Schizosaccharomyces pombe: one gene and its partners. The protein of the gene in region 2 purifies or fractionates together with the protein of the main gene of each other region. This does not show direct contact. Each region holds a gene or a part of one and is shown on either strand. Other genes may lie near its edges. The genes, in order: tra2, tti2, tra1 and rvb1.

Region 1 (5,078 bases), on a different chromosome or scaffold from region 2:
AGCAGTATAAATGAATATTAGGAACGCAACCAAACCAAGAATATGCCAAAACAGAAAATAAACCACTAATATGACAGTCAATATCCTGAGAGATTCATATTCAATTCCCGCCAATTCTTCTCTCTCCACTGGAGTTAAGGCATAAAATGCAGAATTTCTGCCCACTGTTGCATTGTACGATAAATAAGGTAAACTCATTGTGCTAGCTTTCGTGTGAGTACGGTTGAATGTGAGTCTTCGAGGAAGAGCAGATGTAAATGATTTGGCTAATTGAAATGGTAGGACAGACATTGAGCGCTCATTCCTGTGAAGTGTAGGTGTAACAGCAAATGATTTACCACGTTTTCTACCTCGTCCATCAAGTCGATGAGCACCTTTTTCCTGCTCAGCTCCATTCGTGTCATCTAAAGGTCAATATTAAAATCACGGAATGACTTACCAGCAAAATATATAGGCCTGCGATTATGCCTGGGAACAGGGGTTGGTGCAATGGTAATTGCAGAGCCGCGTACTACATTTTGATGTGCATCGTTAGTAGTTGCAGCAGCCTGATGATCAAAATTCGAATTTTGAGGTGAATAAGATGCTACATGTGGATCATTGTCAACTCTTGTTGTGCTGTAGTTTGAGTTTGAGGATGAAACAGTTTCCTGATTACCATCATTTGCAGTTTCTAGGGAAGGATTGTGCGAAGAGATAGAACTGTTGTTATCCAGATGATGGTTCAGTTGTGTTTGATTCTCGTGGTCATGTACTTGAGGCTCAAAATCCTCAGGAATTGTTTGAAAAGATGATTCTTCAAACGAACTAGGAATGTAAAAGTCGACAGGATTATTTCTAGCATTGTTTTGTACAACGGATAAAGATCCATTGTCGATTGATGCCATTCTTCGTTTCCCAAGAGCTGGACTTAATGCTTCAGTTCTGTCTTCATTTTCTTGAGAATTTCTAACACCTGCATAACTAGGGAGAGCGGGCATGGTATTCCCGCGAAAGAAGCTTGGGCGATCGATTGCATTAGCAAATTTCCTTAGACGAAAATGGTGCCTGTGATGTTTTTCATTCTCTTGGTGTTCAGCTTCCTCAGCCTTAGTCTCTGGGGCAACTGGCCGGTGCATTTGATTACCCTGGTCTAACAAAACCCGAATTTTTCGATTGCCAACTTTGGAAGGCTCTGGAGTATCCCTTCTTCTTACAGTGTGATAAGTATATGTCATCCTAAGTTTATTATTTGTTATGACCATGTCATATCGCTTGTTATAGAAGTACAGCTTAAACAAAGTCAAGCCCAGGTTCACAGTAATTGGTGTACTCAAAACTCCAAAAAGGAGAATAGTTAACTAAAAAATAGTTAAAAAATTTATTTAAAAATATGCATACCTGTTGGTAAATGGATATCTGCGTGAGGTCCACAGGCTGCAAGCCAGTCTGAGTACAAGAACCAGAAGCCAACAACAAAGCATCTATGTAGCGCAAATTTCCCGACCCATACAATATTACTGAACATAAAATAGTCATTCCTATTATAAAAGAATCTTGAACAAAGTTAGGCTTGAAAAGAAGTTTTTCACATACAATGGTATTCAAGGAACCGGAACCGTTTGTAGAAAAACCCGATAACTGCATGATAAAATCTGTATAATATTTTCCTTCTTAAAAACCTTCTATATCGTACAAACATGTCATAGTTTATAAAGCAGTATTATATTGTATTTGATAAAAATTACACTCACGTCGATTTCAAATAGCTTCAGTGGCTTCTTGAATAGTGCAGTTTTGCGTCCTCACTATACGATTCACCTTGAACATAGCAACAACTAAACAACATCTGACAGTAATCGTTCTGTGCTTTTTTACAGCTGTGTCCAAAATCTCGTAGTGTATCAAGTTTGGTTTCAAAGATTTATTAAAAAGTATCTGCATGGACCGAACTTTGTTATGGAAGACGGTTTTGAAAAGTCGCTCAGCAGCTCTATAGAGCTACTGAAAGCTGAAAGTACAGGTATATAAATTTTTGTAGATATTTTGATTCATTTTTTTATTTTATACTAACTTTTTTTAAGAAATAGAAGAAAAAATCAAACTAACTAAAATTTTAATTACTAAGGTTTCTAGCATATCTTCAGACGCCTCGCAGCTGTATGCAGAATTAATTCCACTACTCTTGGATTTTTTACGAAATACAGAGGTGAATCTTTATAGAAATTCTTCTGTCAATGAACTCAAGATCGAAGCATTGACTTTAATACAAAGTTGCGCTCACCGTGATGAATTTAAACAATATGCGCAGTCTTGTGTGCTTTCGTTCATTAGCTTGATTAAAGCAGATAATGAAGAAGTCGCTGTTTTTTGCTTAAAAGTTATTATGGATATATTCAAAACTTTTAAGTTTTGTATAGAAAGCACTGCACAACCCTTTTTTGACTTGGTACTTGAGCTTTCTACAAACCTTCCTTATTTAATTCCCTCAATATTTGTCGAGAATCCAAAATCAAATGAAGAGGAAAATACAACCCTGGCTTTTGGTAGTTATCTGTCTACGGAAACTTCAATCATCCAACAGCGTGTCAATTCTTTAGCTATTTCTACTCAACCTTTGGAACTGGCTTCTCAAAGTTTCCGCGTGTATGTAGAGTGTCCGGTCATTATAGTTTTGATTCTTCAAGCATATCGTCAAGCTGCTTTCCCTGGTGTTCAAGCCATAATTCCCTGTTTTCTTAAGATGGTACAAATTGATGTTCCAATAGACATCGCTTCATATGCAATGATTGAAAAAGATTCAAGCATTGACTTTATTGAGTTTATAAGGAATAAATATCAGTACCGTAATTTTTTTATGGCTCAAGTAAAGACTTTATCTTTCTTGGCTTATATTTTACGAACTCATCCCAATACACTTTCTGAGAAGGATATAATACCGGACATTGTAATAAAGCTTTTGAGGCGATGCCCTTTTGATATGTGTTTTGCCCGTAAAGAACTGCTGGTTGCTACGAGACATATTCTGTCAACAAACTTAAAATCTCTTTTTGTCAAAAAGCTGGATTTTTTGTTAGATTTAAATATATTATTAGGAAATGGAGTTGGTACTCAAAAGCTGTTACGTCCCTTGGCATTTAGTACATTAGCTGACTTACTTCATCATGTACGTGACGAACTTAACGAAACGCAAATAAGAAAATCTATAATGATTTATTCGACCAATATGCATGATTTGACTCTTAGCATTGGGTTACAGACTATGGGTGCCCGGCTCATTTTAAACATGGTTGACAGAATGATTAGTCTTCCTAGCATCCCCGATGCTATATTTCTTCTTTTATCTATTTTTGATAGCTTTGTAAATAAGTTTTCGGAACTTAATGATAGTTTGGATCAGTTTTTTAAGAAAAAGTATGAAGAAGAAATTAAAGAGACAAAGTCACCGACGCGTTCTTCTCCTAGGGATTTATCTTCATTTAGCACTTCCGTCAATGATGGATCATTTCTTTTTAAAAACTTGATGTTTGGCTTACGGGCTCTTATGTATGGGCTTCGTACATGCAAGTCTCGATGCATAGAAATTGGAGGTGAACAATTTTCGGGATTCCTTACGAATATCAAGCCTTTCGAAGCTGTTACGTTTCAGAAGCTTTTTTTTGAGGTTGGCAAAGGATTCTCATATTTTCGACCTGAGCAAGTCTATTTAGAAACTTTTTTCTGCTGCGAAGAAGAAAGTTTAGATCGCCCTGCTATATCTACGCTTCCTCGTAACAAAGACGAGAAAGATTGTCTTGAAGTATTTGCTACCATTTTTATACATCTCGAGCCATCTATATTTCTTAAAGTTTTTGAAACAAACCTTCCTACTTTTTTTGATCAACTTAAAAAAAATCTCACATTATTTCACATTCCACAGTTTTTGCTTTCAAATGAGAGCACATCATCAAAATTTTTAAATATTTTACTTCGATTTCTGCTTTCCAGAATTGAGGAACTCGGATCTTCTGACATCAGGCATGGTTCTGTCTTGTTGCGTTTGTTTCGTCTTTCTTTCGTTACAGTCTCAATGTTTGCAACAGAGAATGAGCCAGTTCTTCGGCCTTATGTATCTGAAATTATTGTGAAATGTATGAAGTTGGCTCCCAATTCTGCTAATTCATTGAACTACTATTATCTATTAAGAGCGTTGTTCCGAGGAATTGGTGGGGGAAGATTTGAAAGCCTTTATAAAGAAGTAATGCCTTTGTTGCACGCTCTATTAGAGGCATTTAATTCATTGCTTATATCTGCCCGTACTCCGAAGGAGAAAGACCTTTTTACCGAACTTTGTCTTACTATTCCTGTAAGGCTTAGTCTTTTATTACCATACATGAGTTATCTAATGAGACCTCTCGTCATGTCTTTAAAAAGCAGTCAAGAATTAGTTAGTCAGGGATTACGAACCTTTGAATTATGCTTGGATAATCTCACTCCTGATTTTTTGGATCCGATAATGGCTCCTTACATAGAAGATCTAATGAATGCTTTATGGAGTCATCTACAACCTCTTCCTTATAATTATAATCACAGCCATACTGCCTTGAAAATACTTGGTAAACTTGGTGGAAGAAATAGGAAGCTTCTTGATAGAGTCCAGAGTTTAAAGAATTCGCCGGAACCGAATAACGATTTTACTTTACTTCTTTCGATAAAAGGGGTTAAACAACCACAACTTTTACATTACACCCAATATGTTGATGAGGCTGTGAATTTGCTTTCTAGCCCTTCTAGTGATCTGGAGGTTAAGCAACAAGCGTTCACTTATGTTTGCAATATTTCAAAGCTCTATGTTTATAAGAGTGACGCTACTAACAGCTTAGCCTCATCCATTCGATGTACTGCAGACAAGATTTCTAAGAGTAATTTTGATTTTCGACGACCATATTCTGTAATACCGAGCCGAATGACTGGAAGGAGTTCATTCACCCAACTGAGTGATGATTCAGATGAAACCATAATTTTGGCCTCGGCTACATATGGACTTTTTTTTGCTACGACGGTTGATGAACTCCGCGAAGAAGCTTACTTCTGGCTTGAAAAACTGGCGGTCAACGTAA
Region 2 (4,248 bases):
TTATAATTTAGTATCATACTCAATATAACATATATTAGATATATGCGATTTTACATTAGTCAACTTCATACGAAATTGCTGATGTTATTATAACTTGTCTATCTTATCAGTTTTAGAATAAATTGTTCATTGTCTGAATTTTTGAAAACAAATCATCAGCACCTTATTAGAACTCCAAATTTAGCAATTTGTAACATTACAAAAGTACAAGTGACAAGTCACCTCATACCATTAATTCTGTTTGAAAACTGTATATAGTAAACCACGCAGGTAGCTTCAGGAATATACGACAGAATGGGAAAAAAGGAGAAAGTCAATGCTTTGGAATTTTCTGTTAATAAAGGAATTTTTACAAAAACTCGTTTAAAAAGCCTGTATTCTGACTTTACGAGTCTGTTTATAAAAAATCCTGAAGGATTTTTGGCAAACGTAAATACTTGGAGAGAAGCAATTGAAACATCCGCATGGTCTGGGAAGTTGAATTCTAGGATAATCTTAGTTTTCGATGAGACTTTTGAAAGTGCGTTTTCAAGTCCTGCTTTAGGTAGACCTTTGAGCCTTGGTGCTGTTGCGGTACGTGAATTAAGCATTTTTTTTGAAGCTAATAAGCATATAGGCTTACTGGATCCAGCAAGGGGTTTGGCTTCGTAAGCAAGACTTTTTGAACGATTGTAAAAAAGGAAATTTAGTAAGAGAAGACGGTTTTTCTATTTTTTCAATTCTACGGTGGAGTTTTCAGAAACTTGGGTTTCAAAATCAAGCCTCATCCATATTGTCAAATAGATCCCCGAGTGGGCAGTATGTAATTCGAAAAAATATTGAGAAACTTGCTTGCCTTGTACACAATGAAGCAATGCGACGGTGCAGCAGCTATACGAGTGCAATTTATACTTGGGACTTTTTTCAAGATACTTTTGGAAGCTTATACTGGGAAGAAGGAAAATTAAACAAGGATGAGATGGAATGCCTTCTTAATTGGATGTGCTATCAAAAACATGTTTTAATATTTGATTCTAAGGTAAGTTCAGATTATATGTTTTCTCAGCTATTTGTCGATACCGTTTTTTTAACGAGAATAGATAATCAAGTTTTTACCCAACAGCCAAATTGATGCTCAATTAGCTTCAATTGATAAGTCTATTGATGGGTCTGTTGCAGATCTGATACAGGCTAGGGCATCCATCGCCCAAAGATCAGAATTTTTAAACGAGGAATTGGAGCAACTTTCACAAGTGCTAAACCAAGCAGTTAAAAAGGGAGAGAAAACAATAGCAATAACTTATTTACGTCGAAAAAAGATTTTGTCTAAAGATTTGGAAAGGAAAGTTTCTTCGCGTCTGCAATTAGATACTATAATTTCTAATATTGATAATGCGGTTGACAACAAAATTTTGCTTATTGCAATGTCTTCTGGCTCTGAAGCTCTAGACGCAATTTTAGCTCAAATGGGTGGAACTGAAAAAGTGGAAGATGTCTTAGAAAACGTAAATGATACACTGGCTCGTTCGGAAGAGATTGATGCAACTATTCAAACTTACAATCCTCAAAACATTGATTTAGAGGATGAAGCCGTTGAAAAAGAATGGCAGGATTTGGTAGCTGAAGAACAGAAGGTTGAAGATATCGTGTCTACATTAGGCAATGTTTCTCTAAAAACACCATCTGATACTTTTACCCTTACTAATACTGACTCGGATAAAAAGACTTCGAAACCGGAGAAGATTCAAGCTGAGCTGGTTGAGCAATAATTTATATACGTCCTTTTTTAACGATCACTTAAATTCACGGGAAATGGTTTGGTTTACTAATAATTTATGCACATACTAAAGAATAAATGAATACTATAAAAACATTTTTCTTGGTAATAACTATAAAAAACAATAATGCTTATATACTCAATAGAACTTATATAGCTAAAGCGATAAGGTAAAGTACCTGTGTAATGAATTGATGTTAGTTACTAAAAATTTTGCTTTTTATACCTTTAAAAACTAGTAAATTGTTAATTTATTAAATTGATTTCTTGGCAACGACTTAGAAACTTACAGTATATCACATACTCTATAAGTTTATATTATTAGTGTATGACCATAGCTTAACATGAAATACTTTTTTCATAGAATTTAAGTTCTCTAATAACTAAGTGACATTACAATTCTGTTAATATTCTTTGTTTACAAATCAAACAAATAATAAAACATTAGACTTAATAATTATCTAATAGAAGTTTAAATTGGCAATATCTATGCAATATTACAAAGAGCTAGCTAGGCGATTGCATACTCTACAATCAAAAAATGAAAAAGAAGCTCTTGAAAAAGTACCGTTTTTAATTCACTATTTTCAAATTTTAACCAAATATAGCAAATAGACTTTTTGGACAAATTGGTGGTAGAGGTGGACTCGTTGGTTCATGAACAAGATTTGAGGCCATTATTAGAGTTCATTAGCCCTACTGAAAGTTGGTTTTTACTGGGTACGGCGACAATTTTTTATATTAAATTATTAACTCATCCAGACCCTGAATCGATTGATGTAGTGATTAAAGAAGCGTATGTTGTGCGCGCTCACCGGATATTAAGCATTTTTCAAGAACAGTTTATAGAAAATGTTGTTAAAGAGATCAATTGGGAAATCCTAGCTATTTTAATATCATTAAGTGGAATCGAGAATGGACTTGTACGCAATTTGTCAGAATTCCTCTCAACTTCAATCCTCAGCGCTGTTCCTAGACAAAAATTCTTATTATATCTTCTAGAAAAGTATCAAATAAATCTTTTTCATAGAGAAGAACGGTTGACAGATCAAGGTAGACCGGTTGCATTTGAATTACCACCAGACAAATTTCACAGTGATCAAAGTAAAGCACTTCTTGAGCCAAAGTGGAAAACAAAAAATTATCTCATTTCTCACCTTATTTTTTGGATAATTGATCAGCAAAGTTCTTCTAGCATTGAAGTATGTTGGCACAGAATCATTCCATCTGTACTCCGAATATTGAATGATTTATCTCCAAACATTAAACTACAAGGAATTGAGCTAGTCAACAGATTGTTAAAAATTACGGAAAGAGAATTTCTTTTATATACTGGAATTCTAAAAATTTTGAAGGACGATTTGCTCGTATTCTATACTTTCATACCGCCAAGATTTACAATTCAAACGAGTGTTACCCTTATAAATGCCTCCTTCGCAACCCTAGTTTCTCTTTATCCTGAAGAAAATGAAAATTTAAATTCTATTATGCTGAACGGTATTAATTCTGTGTTTCAGTTTGCATTCGATTATCCCCTGATTCTTCAAGCCGCATTTTCTCAAATTATGGTTTTAACTGACAAAATGAATGTTAGTTATTTACCATACCTAACGGTAATAATTTAAATTCGTTACATTTGAAAGTTTACTAATCGCACTTAGTTGACTCTGGATGAACTGTGTCGTATAATACAAAACCCACAAATCATACAGATACCATCGACACTCTCCTTTTTTTTAGAAATATTAACAAAACTATTGGAAATTTACAGTTATCGAATATCTGCACACCATGTTGAGTTATTAATGGCACTAGTGGTTTGCAGTAGAAATTATATGCGATGTAACTTACAAGAGCATCACAATGCAATTGTACAAGCGCTTCAAAACCTCTTCACTTTGATAAAATTGAACATAACTGTTGAGCAACTCGGTGATTACAATGTAATATTGCCACTGCTTGAACCCCTGCAAATCCCACTTTGAGGTACATATAAGGAAAGACTCTCCTCATTACTAACCAACCTTCAACCTAGATAAATTGGTAACAATGGTTATTCGAAAAACGATGGAAAATGGAGAATAAAGGAAATATGGAGCTGTCAAATTCTTATGGTTTTTATAAAAATGGTCGTAGGGTTTCATTCGTAAAAGCCACTAGTGAACAATCGTTGGACGAAGCCACTTTTATTGAAAAAGGATCGGCACAAGCATTTTATCATTCGTTATTTGAAAATGATAGGGATAATTCGCATACTATGAACAGCAAGAGGGACGAAGCTGGTTTTGCTTGTGAAGTGTGTCAAATATACATTCCAAATAGCAAAAAAATTAATCATTTTAAATCAATGACTCACCTTCTTTCTTCACAACATATTTCAAACAAATTTCAACCCCATTTATTAAAACCAAAAAGCCTTGGTTATCGAGTTCTTTCTCAGTATGGTTGGTCTCCCCAAGGAGATACTGCTGGATTGGGTTTGGAAAATCAGG
Region 3 (4,997 bases), 2.0 Mb from region 2:
GAAGATGGAATATGATCGTTTTATTTGATAATTTCTGATTTTTATTTTGTAAAAAAATTTACCTCTTTCTTTTGTAGGTTGTGGGAAGCTAATATTTTTATGCACCTGATGCATTTTTTTTTTCTTTTGGAGCATAATTTGGGGTTATTCTTATATTTTGTTAAGTTTTTTACTGTGTAATTTCTAGATGTTTTCTCAATATAATTCGTTTTCAGCGATGTACGTTGCCATGTATCTGTGTAGAAAGTTCAAGTGATGTTTATTAAAAGATGGATTATCTCAATAGACAAAATGTTTATCTTCCATCATTTACAGATAGAAATTGAATTGGAAAAGTGCTTTCATTTTTGTTTAAACCTTGTAATTAAACCTATGTAGCGTTATACGTTGGAATAGAAAGAGAAAAGCCTACCGGTTGCGTTCAAAAATGGAACAAAACTTTATTTCTAGATTTTATCAGGTTCGTTATTCATGGCAATCTAATCAAATATACAATTCATGGTTATAATCCCAAGGTTTTACGAGCCAATCGTCGAACTACACGACAATATTCTTCTCGATCTTCTCTCCACATCTTGCACGCATCGATGTTAGCACCACTTTCATCGTTTGGTTCCGCCAACATCGACATTACCGATAACAGTATTTTTTCAACAGATTGAACAGGAGACCAACGTTCTGAAGACGACTCATACATATTTGGATCGTCACCAGGTGCATGTAGGATGGAAATGCAAACCGTCCCATCTTTGTAAACTGAAATGAAGGTTAGTCTCGAAATTTGGATTAATAGTATCTGGCATACCATTTGGATGGAAAAATTCACACTCAAACTTTAAAGTAGGGGGGCCAAGAGGATAATCCTACATAAAAAAGTTAGAATCCAATAAAAATAAAACTAAGCACGTATCAACGTGCGCTTGAACACCCCGGATGTACTGCCATGCGATTCAAAGAAAGAAACCAAACCCCCAAAAAAAAACTTAGATAGATCTTTTAAATAAAATTTCTTCCTACTCATCAATAAATCGAAGGATTCATCAATTACTAATGAATAAAAGCACTTCTCTTAAATGATCATTCTAAACGAATGGATTATTGAGTTACTTTCTTTATTTACGCTGAACAAATGTTAATTTATGAAAAAGAGCGCGTATTTTTTAATAAGTAGTTGATACATAAAACATGCGAAACATCATACTTATCCACAACTTAAATCACATGTTCAGTCTCCATCAGGTTTATAGTAAAGGACTTACGGAAGGAAATTTCAAGGTAGCAGGGTATAACCCACCTTCAAATGGAGTTCCATCAGGGCCTTGAATTAGGCAATCCCAAGTAAAGAAATCATCCTCATTCGATGGACCTGCAGTAATACCATCAGGCCCATTCTCCGTTAACTCCTTATACTCCTTCATTAACCGTCGCAACGCCATAGCTTTACTCATTTTGGAAATCAATTAACTTACTAATCGGTAAGATATATTAAAGATCACTGACTAAAAGGTAGCCTAAAAATGGTAATGAACAGATTAATGAATGAATGGTTTGTTTACGACAAATTATGCAGCTGAGGCTAAACGAACTTTTGTGGTATCACTCGCTATTTTTATCTCGTTCATCATTTTAGCAACTTCTACCGCACAAAATAATAAGGCCGTTAATTAAAATAGCGAAAACATGTAAAATTCATAAAGTGATTTAGAGGAAAGAAATGCAGCTTGCTCTATCCCACAACATTCCAATAGTAATTGTTAAATACTTAGGAAAACGTATCCGAGTGCAATTGGAATTTAAAAAAGAGCTTGCGCAGAGATCCAAGCATCTGATGGATGTATCACAATGCGAACATTGGCATAATCGGCTTTGTGATGTTGGATTAGACTCGAAGCAAAAGGCAAACACAGCAATTGAAATTCGAGATGCACTGGATGATGTGTTGGTAACTGAAAAGACGAATTTTGAAACTTTCATTCCTCTTTTGGAGGACACGTTGTCTTTGCTTGAAAAGGAACGTCCTGTATTTTCATCGTTAGCAGCTACACATCGTTTACGCATTGCATTGCTTGAATTGCTCAAGAAATCTGGATCCTATAAAGGTTTTGAAGCATTCGTTAATCGGACTTTTGCCGTGCTTCTTCGTATAGTCGTTAATGATAATGAAGAGATGGCAGTGTTGGCATTGAAGCTTGTTGTCCTTCTTTTTAAGGACCACAGTAGCCTTGCTAAGGGACATGTTCAGGAATTTTTATCCATTGTCGTTGAAAACTACAAATCCATGACCACAGTTGTTTCAGAAGCTTTCCCACCTAGATCAGCTCCGAATACTCCATCCTCTCATCCCATGTCTGCTGCATCTTCTGCATCTCCTGCTGAAATTGGAATGGAACATGCAGGTCCAAAAATGATCCCAAAAGCTTCTTCGAGTTTCAAGGTCACTGCTGAATTTCCCATTATCGTCTTTCTCCTATTTCAAACATACAAAGATCTTATTCCGAAAATGCTTCCTTTACTTGCTCCGCTTGTACTTCAATTTATCTCACTTCGTCCTCCACCTCAAGCCGAAGCTCGTCGACTTGCAGAATCTCAAAAAGAGGTTTTTATTGGTGTAGTCCCTTCTTTGCGTCGAAATCATCTTTACAATGACCTTATTTCTGCGCAAATTAAATCATTCTCTTTTCTCGCCTATTTATTGAGAAGTTTTGGTGCTGCTCTTAAACAGTTTGAAAGCTCGATCCCAATATGTACCTTGCAATTGTTCATGGACTGTCCTTCCGAATTATATCAGACTCGAAGAGAACTTTTGGTAGCTACAAGGCACGTCTTATCGACGGATTATTTGAGAGGGTTTCTACCGTATGTAGATCAACTACTTGATACCAAAATTCTAGTTGGTTCTGGAATCACTTCTCAGCATTCATTACGACCCATGGCTTTTAGCATGCTGGCAGATATGCTTCATTATGTGCGTATGGAATTAAGTCCACAACAAATTTACAAAGTCATACTTCTTTATTTCAGTATTTTGATGGACGACTTTTATACTTCAGCTATTCAGGCAATGGCTACAAAGCTTATTTTAAACTTGGTTGAAAGAATTGTTGCACTAGAAGATTTTTCCACTAGCCGATCACTTCTATTTGCTATACTTTTATGTCTCTTAAGAAAATTGACTTCTCTGAATTTCGAGTTTATGAAGCTGAGAGATTCTTTACAGGAAAATGCTGACTTAAAGCAAATTAAAATAGAAGAAAATAAACATGATCTTCCTATGTTTGAGAACCCTACTGGAGCTGCCCAACCTTCAGGTTTGGATAAGCTAAAAGATTGCATATTTCTTTTTAAAAACACCTTATTAGGTATTAAGCCTGTTTTGTTTGGACTAAAGCAACGAAATATTCCTCTTGCCAACGGTTCCATTTTTACAGCTCAGGAATGGTCTGAAAAGTTACATCTTAGTTCAACTAATGAAGTTTTACTGTTTCGAAGATTACTTGTGGAAAGTTTAAAGGGATTCAGTTATTACCAGACAGATGAAAAAACCGGTGTATTCAAGTCCTCGAAAAATCTTGCATACTCTCAACTTGATTCTTCGTTGACCACAAACCCTTCTAAACTCTTAGAAGAGAAGGAGCTCTTAGAAATGTTAGCAACTTTATTTTTACACTTGGACCCATCTGTTTTCGTCGAAATTTTGGAATCCGAGTTTCCGAATATATTTGAGTGTCTAGTAGATAATCTTGCTTTATTGCATATTTTCCAATTTTGGATGTCTAATGAAGTTACTTCTGTCAACTGCACGGGCATCGTGCTGTCTTTTTGCTGTGACAATCTAGCTAAAATAGGGTCTGGCCAATCCACTCGGGTTTCTGTTTTATTGCGATTATTCAAGTTGGCCTTTATGACTGTGAATGTTTTTCCCGAAAAAAATGCAGAAGTCCTGCGTCCCCATATATCCTATATCATTTCAACTAGCCTCGAATTGACTACTGATGCTGTTGAACCTTTAAATTACGTTTATTTAATGAAAGCTTTGTTTAGAAATATCAGTGGAGGAAAATTTGATTCTCTTTACAAGGAAATACTACCACTTCTCCAAGTAATGCTAGAATGTTTCAACAGATTGATTTTTACTGTTACGTCTACATCCCAAAAAGAGCTGTATGCGGAACTTTGTTTGACTTTACCCATTAGACTCAGTGTGTTGTTGCCTCATATGAATTTTTTAATGAAGCCATTGATTGTTGCATTAAAAGGCCCCCCTGAAATAGCTAGTCAAGGGCTTCGAATATTTGAACTTTGCTTGGATAATCTTACTCAAGAATTTTTGGATCCTTTATTGGACTCAATTATGCCGGATTTGCTGATATGCCTGTGGAATCATTCACGCCTTAATCAATCCAATAATCAATTGCATCAAAGTGCTGTGAGAATATTAGGAAAAATGGGTGGTCGAAATAGACAAATATATCTTGGTACCTTTGGCTTTGATTTTTTGCAAGATGAAAATATTTTTCCTTCAATCCAGTTTTCTTTCCAAGGCTCCTCTCAGAATTTTAGCTTAGAGCACTCCAAATTTTTAATGTCTTCATGTGCTGTTTTAAACAATCAAAATTCCGATTTAGAAGAAAAGAAGCAAGCATTTCAAATGGTCAAGAATTCGTATTTATTACTCTTTGCGTCTGCGAAGCCCGATGAAGACTTTTGGGAATCTATTGATACAATGTGCCGAGCAGTTGTAGATCGCATGGATAAAAACTTACAGCAAGTCTCTAATGGTAGGTTGTGCCCTGACAAAGATGAATCTTATTATCTGCAAAGATCTATTGTCTCAAACATTTTTAAATCTTTAGTCGGCTCAATGTCTTGTGTGGAATTTGTAGCTGAAGCTCGAGAAACCATCAATCGTTCTTTGGAATGGCTCATTGTTCTTGATTTGGTTAATTACGCTGACTCTCTGCAAATAAAAGATCAAAATATTTTTGATAATTTGCAAA
Region 4 (4,163 bases), on a different chromosome or scaffold from region 2:
TGGCCAATGTGTAGAAGAACAAAGCACACGAATAAGAACCAAACTATTATTAAGCTTTTGGACTTCTGCAGGAGTTTTGGGCTTTTTGGCAGTAGCGAGCGACTCCAAAAGACGAAGTGGCTCGAATGCAGTATATTTTATAGCAGGATGCTCCGTTACAGGACCTGCCGGAGGATTTTTTAATATGTTGGCCAGAATTTGCAAAGAACGTACTCTCGTCTTCTCAGTATTGGACAATGCAAAGAATAATAAAATATAGATAGAAGTTTTGCAAGAATTGCCATGAGTCCAAGAGCTATAATCCTGAAGAAGTAAAAGCTTCTCCAAAACATTAAGATAGGGGAGAAGGACGGTTTTATTGGTTTCTGCATTATTTACAACTGGAGCAAGGACAGACAAGATCTGGGGAAATTTTGCTTGCAGAACATTAGAGGGCACATACTTAATAACCAATTCCAGTAGTTGAAACGTGTGTCCCTTAAAATTTTTCTTTAAGTCCGTGAATTCCTTAACTAAAGTTAGAAGGGCCACCAAATAAGCAGTTGGTGTCGCCTCAGTTTTTTGCTCCTTCAACGTCCCCTCCACTGCACTAACGATTACATCGAATTCGTTTATGACACCTGCAGTGGAGCTGTTTCGAATCTTTCGAAGTTCAATTTGCAATGGTTCATTCACTTCAGCCATGAATTTTTAACCTGCCCAAACTTTCCCTGTAGGATGGTGTGAAAGACAACTCCACATCAGTGCGAAATTCACAGATATGTTCGCAGTGCATTGCACATCGTTATTTGTTTGGCGAAAAAAGATTGTGAAATTAGGAAATTTCCTTACCAATCTTTTGATGGATCACGATGTGTGGCAGGTTAAGTTTAAATTTATTGATAAACATTAATTCGCTGTTGCTAGACGGAATTGCGGGTATTTTCCTGGTACATGAGAAAATTGAGATGTAAACAAATGATTCCCAAGTTATTACCGTTTATATTCATTTATTTATCTGTCGCTAATAAAATTATGTTTTATTGTATCTTAAATGAGCGAGCGTTTAAGCACTACAAAACCTATCGAAGGATTACAGATTGCCCGGAGATTAAAAATAAAAAAAGCAGAAGAAAAAATCAGCGAAACAGTAGTAGCATCGGATTAAGCAATCCAAACAAGTTTTCAATATATATATATATATATTTTTTTTTTTATTCGTTTTTATGCTCACCGTATTTATTTAAATATATATCGCTATTCTAGGATGGTAGTTAATCAACATATGGGATGTATGTAAATAAGAAAATTATAATTCATTAATAAATCAAGAATAACTTTTTGAAAACATTTAGATGTATTTGCGTTTATTACTTAAGTACTCGTTATAACAGTTTTAGTTACTATTTTTTTTGCATCATATACAGTAAAATAGAATTCCTCAAAAATCGATTGTTAATTTCTGTTTAATTTTTTTTTTTAAAGAAAGAATACACCTCTTTGCTTTATTATTTCATTTCCTGTCTTTTTCATTACCTCAGCTCTACTTTCTTCTTATTTAACTTGGTACTATTTTGCTACACCCAACCCTAATGTCACATTTTGAAAGCAAGCTATCCTCAACCAACTACTTATAAAATGGTCCAAATCAGCGAGGTTAAGGGAAATGGCCGTGATAATAGGATTACTACACATTCACATATCAAAGGTTTAGGCCTAAAAGAAGATGGAACTTGTGAATCTGTTGGTGGAGGTTTCATTGGACAAGAAAAGGCTCGTGAGGTAAGCATTCCTGATAATTCTTTAATATAATGTATTCTAATATATTTTCTTAGGCTTGTGGCATCATCACTGATTTAATCAAGTCTAAAAAATTTGGTGGTAAAGGTGTATTGTTCGCTGGAGGTGCTGGTACTGGTAAAACAGCACTGGCCTTGGCGATTGCCCAAGAACTTGGTCCTAAAGTTCCTTTTTGTCCTATGGTGGGAAGTGAAGTCTACTCTAGTGAAATAAAGAAAACTGAGGCTTTAATGGAAAACTTTCGAAGGGCCATTGGTCTTCGGGTAAAGGAAACAAAAGAAGTGTATGAGGGTGAGGTTACAGAAATGGTTCCCGAAGAAGCCGAAAATCCTTTGGGCGGTTATGGAAAAACCATTTCACACGTCCTTTTGGGCCTCAAAACGCATAAGGGTACCAAACAGCTCAAATTAGATCCTAGCATTTACGAATCTTTACAAAGAGAACAAGTGTCAACCGGGGACGTTATTTACATAGAAGCCAATACAGGTGCCGTAAAGAGAGTGGGTCGTAGCGATGCGTATGCTACGGAGTTCGATTTAGAAGCGGAAGAATATGTTCCTATGCCTAAAGGTGAGGTACACAAGCGGAAAGAAATTGTTCAGGACGTGACTCTTCATGATTTGGATATTGCCAATGCCCGCCCTCAAGGAGGACAAGATATAATGTCTATGATGGGTCAGTTAATGAAGCCCAAGAAAACTGAAATCACCGATAAGCTTCGTGGTGAAATTAACAAGGTTGTCAACAAATATATCGAACAAGGAATCGCTGAACTTATTCCTGGTGTCTTGTTCATCGACGAGGTTCATATGTTAGACATTGAGTGCTTTACTTATCTCAACCAAGCCCTAGAAAGCACTATTTCTCCTATTGTTATCTTTGCCTCTAATCGAGGCATTTGTACCATTCGGGGTACTGAGGATATTCAAGCTCCCCATGGTATTCCTACGGATTTGCTTGACAGATTACTAATAGTTCGCACACTCCCCTATTCAGAGTCAGAAATTCGTTCCATTTTGCAGATACGTGCAAAAGTTGAAAACATCATCCTTACTGATGAGTGTTTGGACAAGCTGGCTCAAGAAGGTTCTCGTACTAGTCTCCGTTATGTTATACAACTGTTGACACCCGTTAGCATTATTGCCAGTTTGCATGGTAACAAAGAGATTGGTGTACAAGATATCGAAGAATGTAACGATCTTTTCTTAGATGCTCGCCGCTCCGCTCAAGTTGTTAAATCATCTTCAGGCTTCCTTCAATAAAAATATTATCCTTAATAACGATCTACCCTTACTTATTTCAACTTTTTGGTTATATGCGAAACTAGCTAGATTTACACAGGTTGTGAATATATATACCTTTTTATTTATAAACTTGTAAATTTTTTTTAAGCTTAACCAATTTCTTCTTTTTTTTATCCAGTTATATTCCTTCCATTCCGGCATTTATTTATACTGTAATCATTTATGAATACCTAAATAAAAGTCAGGATCAATGAATTTATTTAGAATTCAATACCTCCTAGGGTTTTTTTACATGCATGGAAAGACTGTATGAAGTACTTTGCAAAAGCTGCAATCATTCTGTAAATAAACTTAAAATATTATAAGAAGGTGAGTTCTTTTTTTTTTTTTTTTTTTTTTTTAAATTTGAGTTGAATGCTATTTATAAATCTTCTGTTCATTTTTGATTCCTACTTCCACGAAAGGACAAGCTGCCACTTGAGATAAGCAAGTGCTAAAGAACGAATAACAGGCAAAAAACTTCAACAGTAACTTCATAAAGCATGATAGACAAAAAGAGTAATACAACATTTGTAATACGCGGAAAAAAAATTCCCCATCTGCGATAACTGTTTCGTCGTCATTTTAGAAATTGATTATTTACATTGCAACACCATCGATTGAGCAATTTTATCAACACACACAGTACTCTTAGCGCACAGTAAGCAACCCCGTTTGTTATGATATATTAATATGCCTCGTTAGTTCGTCAATATACCACTTTACATAAGTGTGGCCAAAGTAAAGCAATAATGACGAGACCAGGAGGAAGGGCAACCCAATATAAGTTGAAGAGAAGACTTTGAATGCTTAACTATTAAGTGTACAAATGGCAGTTTTATCAAGAATTATGAAACCTTACAGGGCCTTTCAAAGGCTTCCTTTTGAGCTCAAACCTCTGGGTTAGTTACTGAGAAAACCGAATTTGTCAAATCACTAACGAATTTTAGCAATCCTCATTGGAATTGCTGGGTCCACTGCAATATTTACCATGGGATATAAGATTTATTCTGATCCTGAAGTATGTACAATTATTTCCAAACTTCTATTACTATTTAAACAACGGCCACTGACCTATATTTACAGATTCGACGCTCACCA

What was found.
Region 1: the proteins of tti2 (region 2) and tra2 purify together in Schizosaccharomyces pombe (affinity purification with mass spectrometry, with the first as the bait; one study listed by BioGRID). This does not show direct contact.
Region 3: the proteins of tti2 (region 2) and tra1 purify together in Schizosaccharomyces pombe (affinity purification with mass spectrometry; 2 studies listed by BioGRID, with this or other methods). This does not show direct contact.
Region 4: the proteins of tti2 (region 2) and rvb1 purify together in Schizosaccharomyces pombe (affinity purification with mass spectrometry, with the first as the bait; one study listed by BioGRID). This does not show direct contact.

The regions. Positions count from the first base shown.
Region 1 is NC_003424.3:257,781-262,858, forward strand, and holds the start of tra2 (phosphatidylinositol kinase-like protein Tra2), read left to right. Parts: upstream 1-1,830; 5' UTR 1,831-1,938; coding exon 1,939-2,002; intron 2,003-2,063; coding exon 2,064-5,078. Other genes in the region: plasma membrane potassium ion transmembrane transporter Trk2, read right to left, coding at 1-404, 440-1,340, 1,381-1,535, 1,576-1,681.
Region 2 is NC_003423.3:3,897,802-3,902,049, forward strand, and holds tti2 (protein Tti2), read left to right. Parts: upstream 1-2,134; 5' UTR 2,135-2,245; coding exon 2,246-2,320; exon of another isoform or gene 2,321-2,364; coding exon 2,365-3,369; exon of another isoform or gene 3,370-3,417; coding exon 3,418-3,741; downstream 3,742-4,248. Other genes in the region: cmp7 (ESCRT III complex subunit), read left to right, coding at 295-573, 617-1,018, 1,080-1,748; SPOM_SPBC1604.16C (G-patch type RNA-binding protein), read left to right, coding at 3,831-4,248. UniProt on the Schizosaccharomyces pombe protein: Component of the tel2-tti1-tti2 (TTT) complex that stabilizes protein levels of the phosphatidylinositol 3-kinase-related protein kinase (PIKK) family proteins.
Region 3 is NC_003423.3:1,902,250-1,907,246, reverse strand, and holds the start of tra1 (SAGA complex, phosphatidylinositol pseudokinase subunit Tra1), read left to right. Parts: upstream 1-1,828; coding exon 1,829-4,997. Other genes in the region: ribosome biogenesis protein Yar1, read left to right, coding at 1-15; ubiquitin-conjugating enzyme Ubc7, read right to left, coding at 503-756, 806-863, 1,260-1,448. UniProt on the Schizosaccharomyces pombe protein: Essential scaffold subunit of the transcription coactivator SAGA complex. SAGA acts as a general cofactor required for essentially all RNA polymerase II transcription.
Region 4 is NC_003424.3:4,922,647-4,926,809, forward strand, and holds rvb1 (chaperone, AAA family ATPase Rvb1), read left to right. Parts: upstream 1-1,600; 5' UTR 1,601-1,617; coding exon 1,618-1,761; exon of another isoform or gene 1,762-1,814; coding exon 1,815-3,041; 3' UTR 3,042-3,419; downstream 3,420-4,163. Other genes in the region: ribosome biogenesis protein Rrp12, read right to left, coding at 1-684; SPOM_SPAPB8E5.08 (uncharacterized protein), read left to right, coding at 934-1,245; protein Min8, read left to right, coding at 3,892-3,964, 4,013-4,083, 4,149-4,163. UniProt on the Schizosaccharomyces pombe protein: DNA helicase which participates in several chromatin remodeling complexes, including the SWR1 and the INO80 complexes.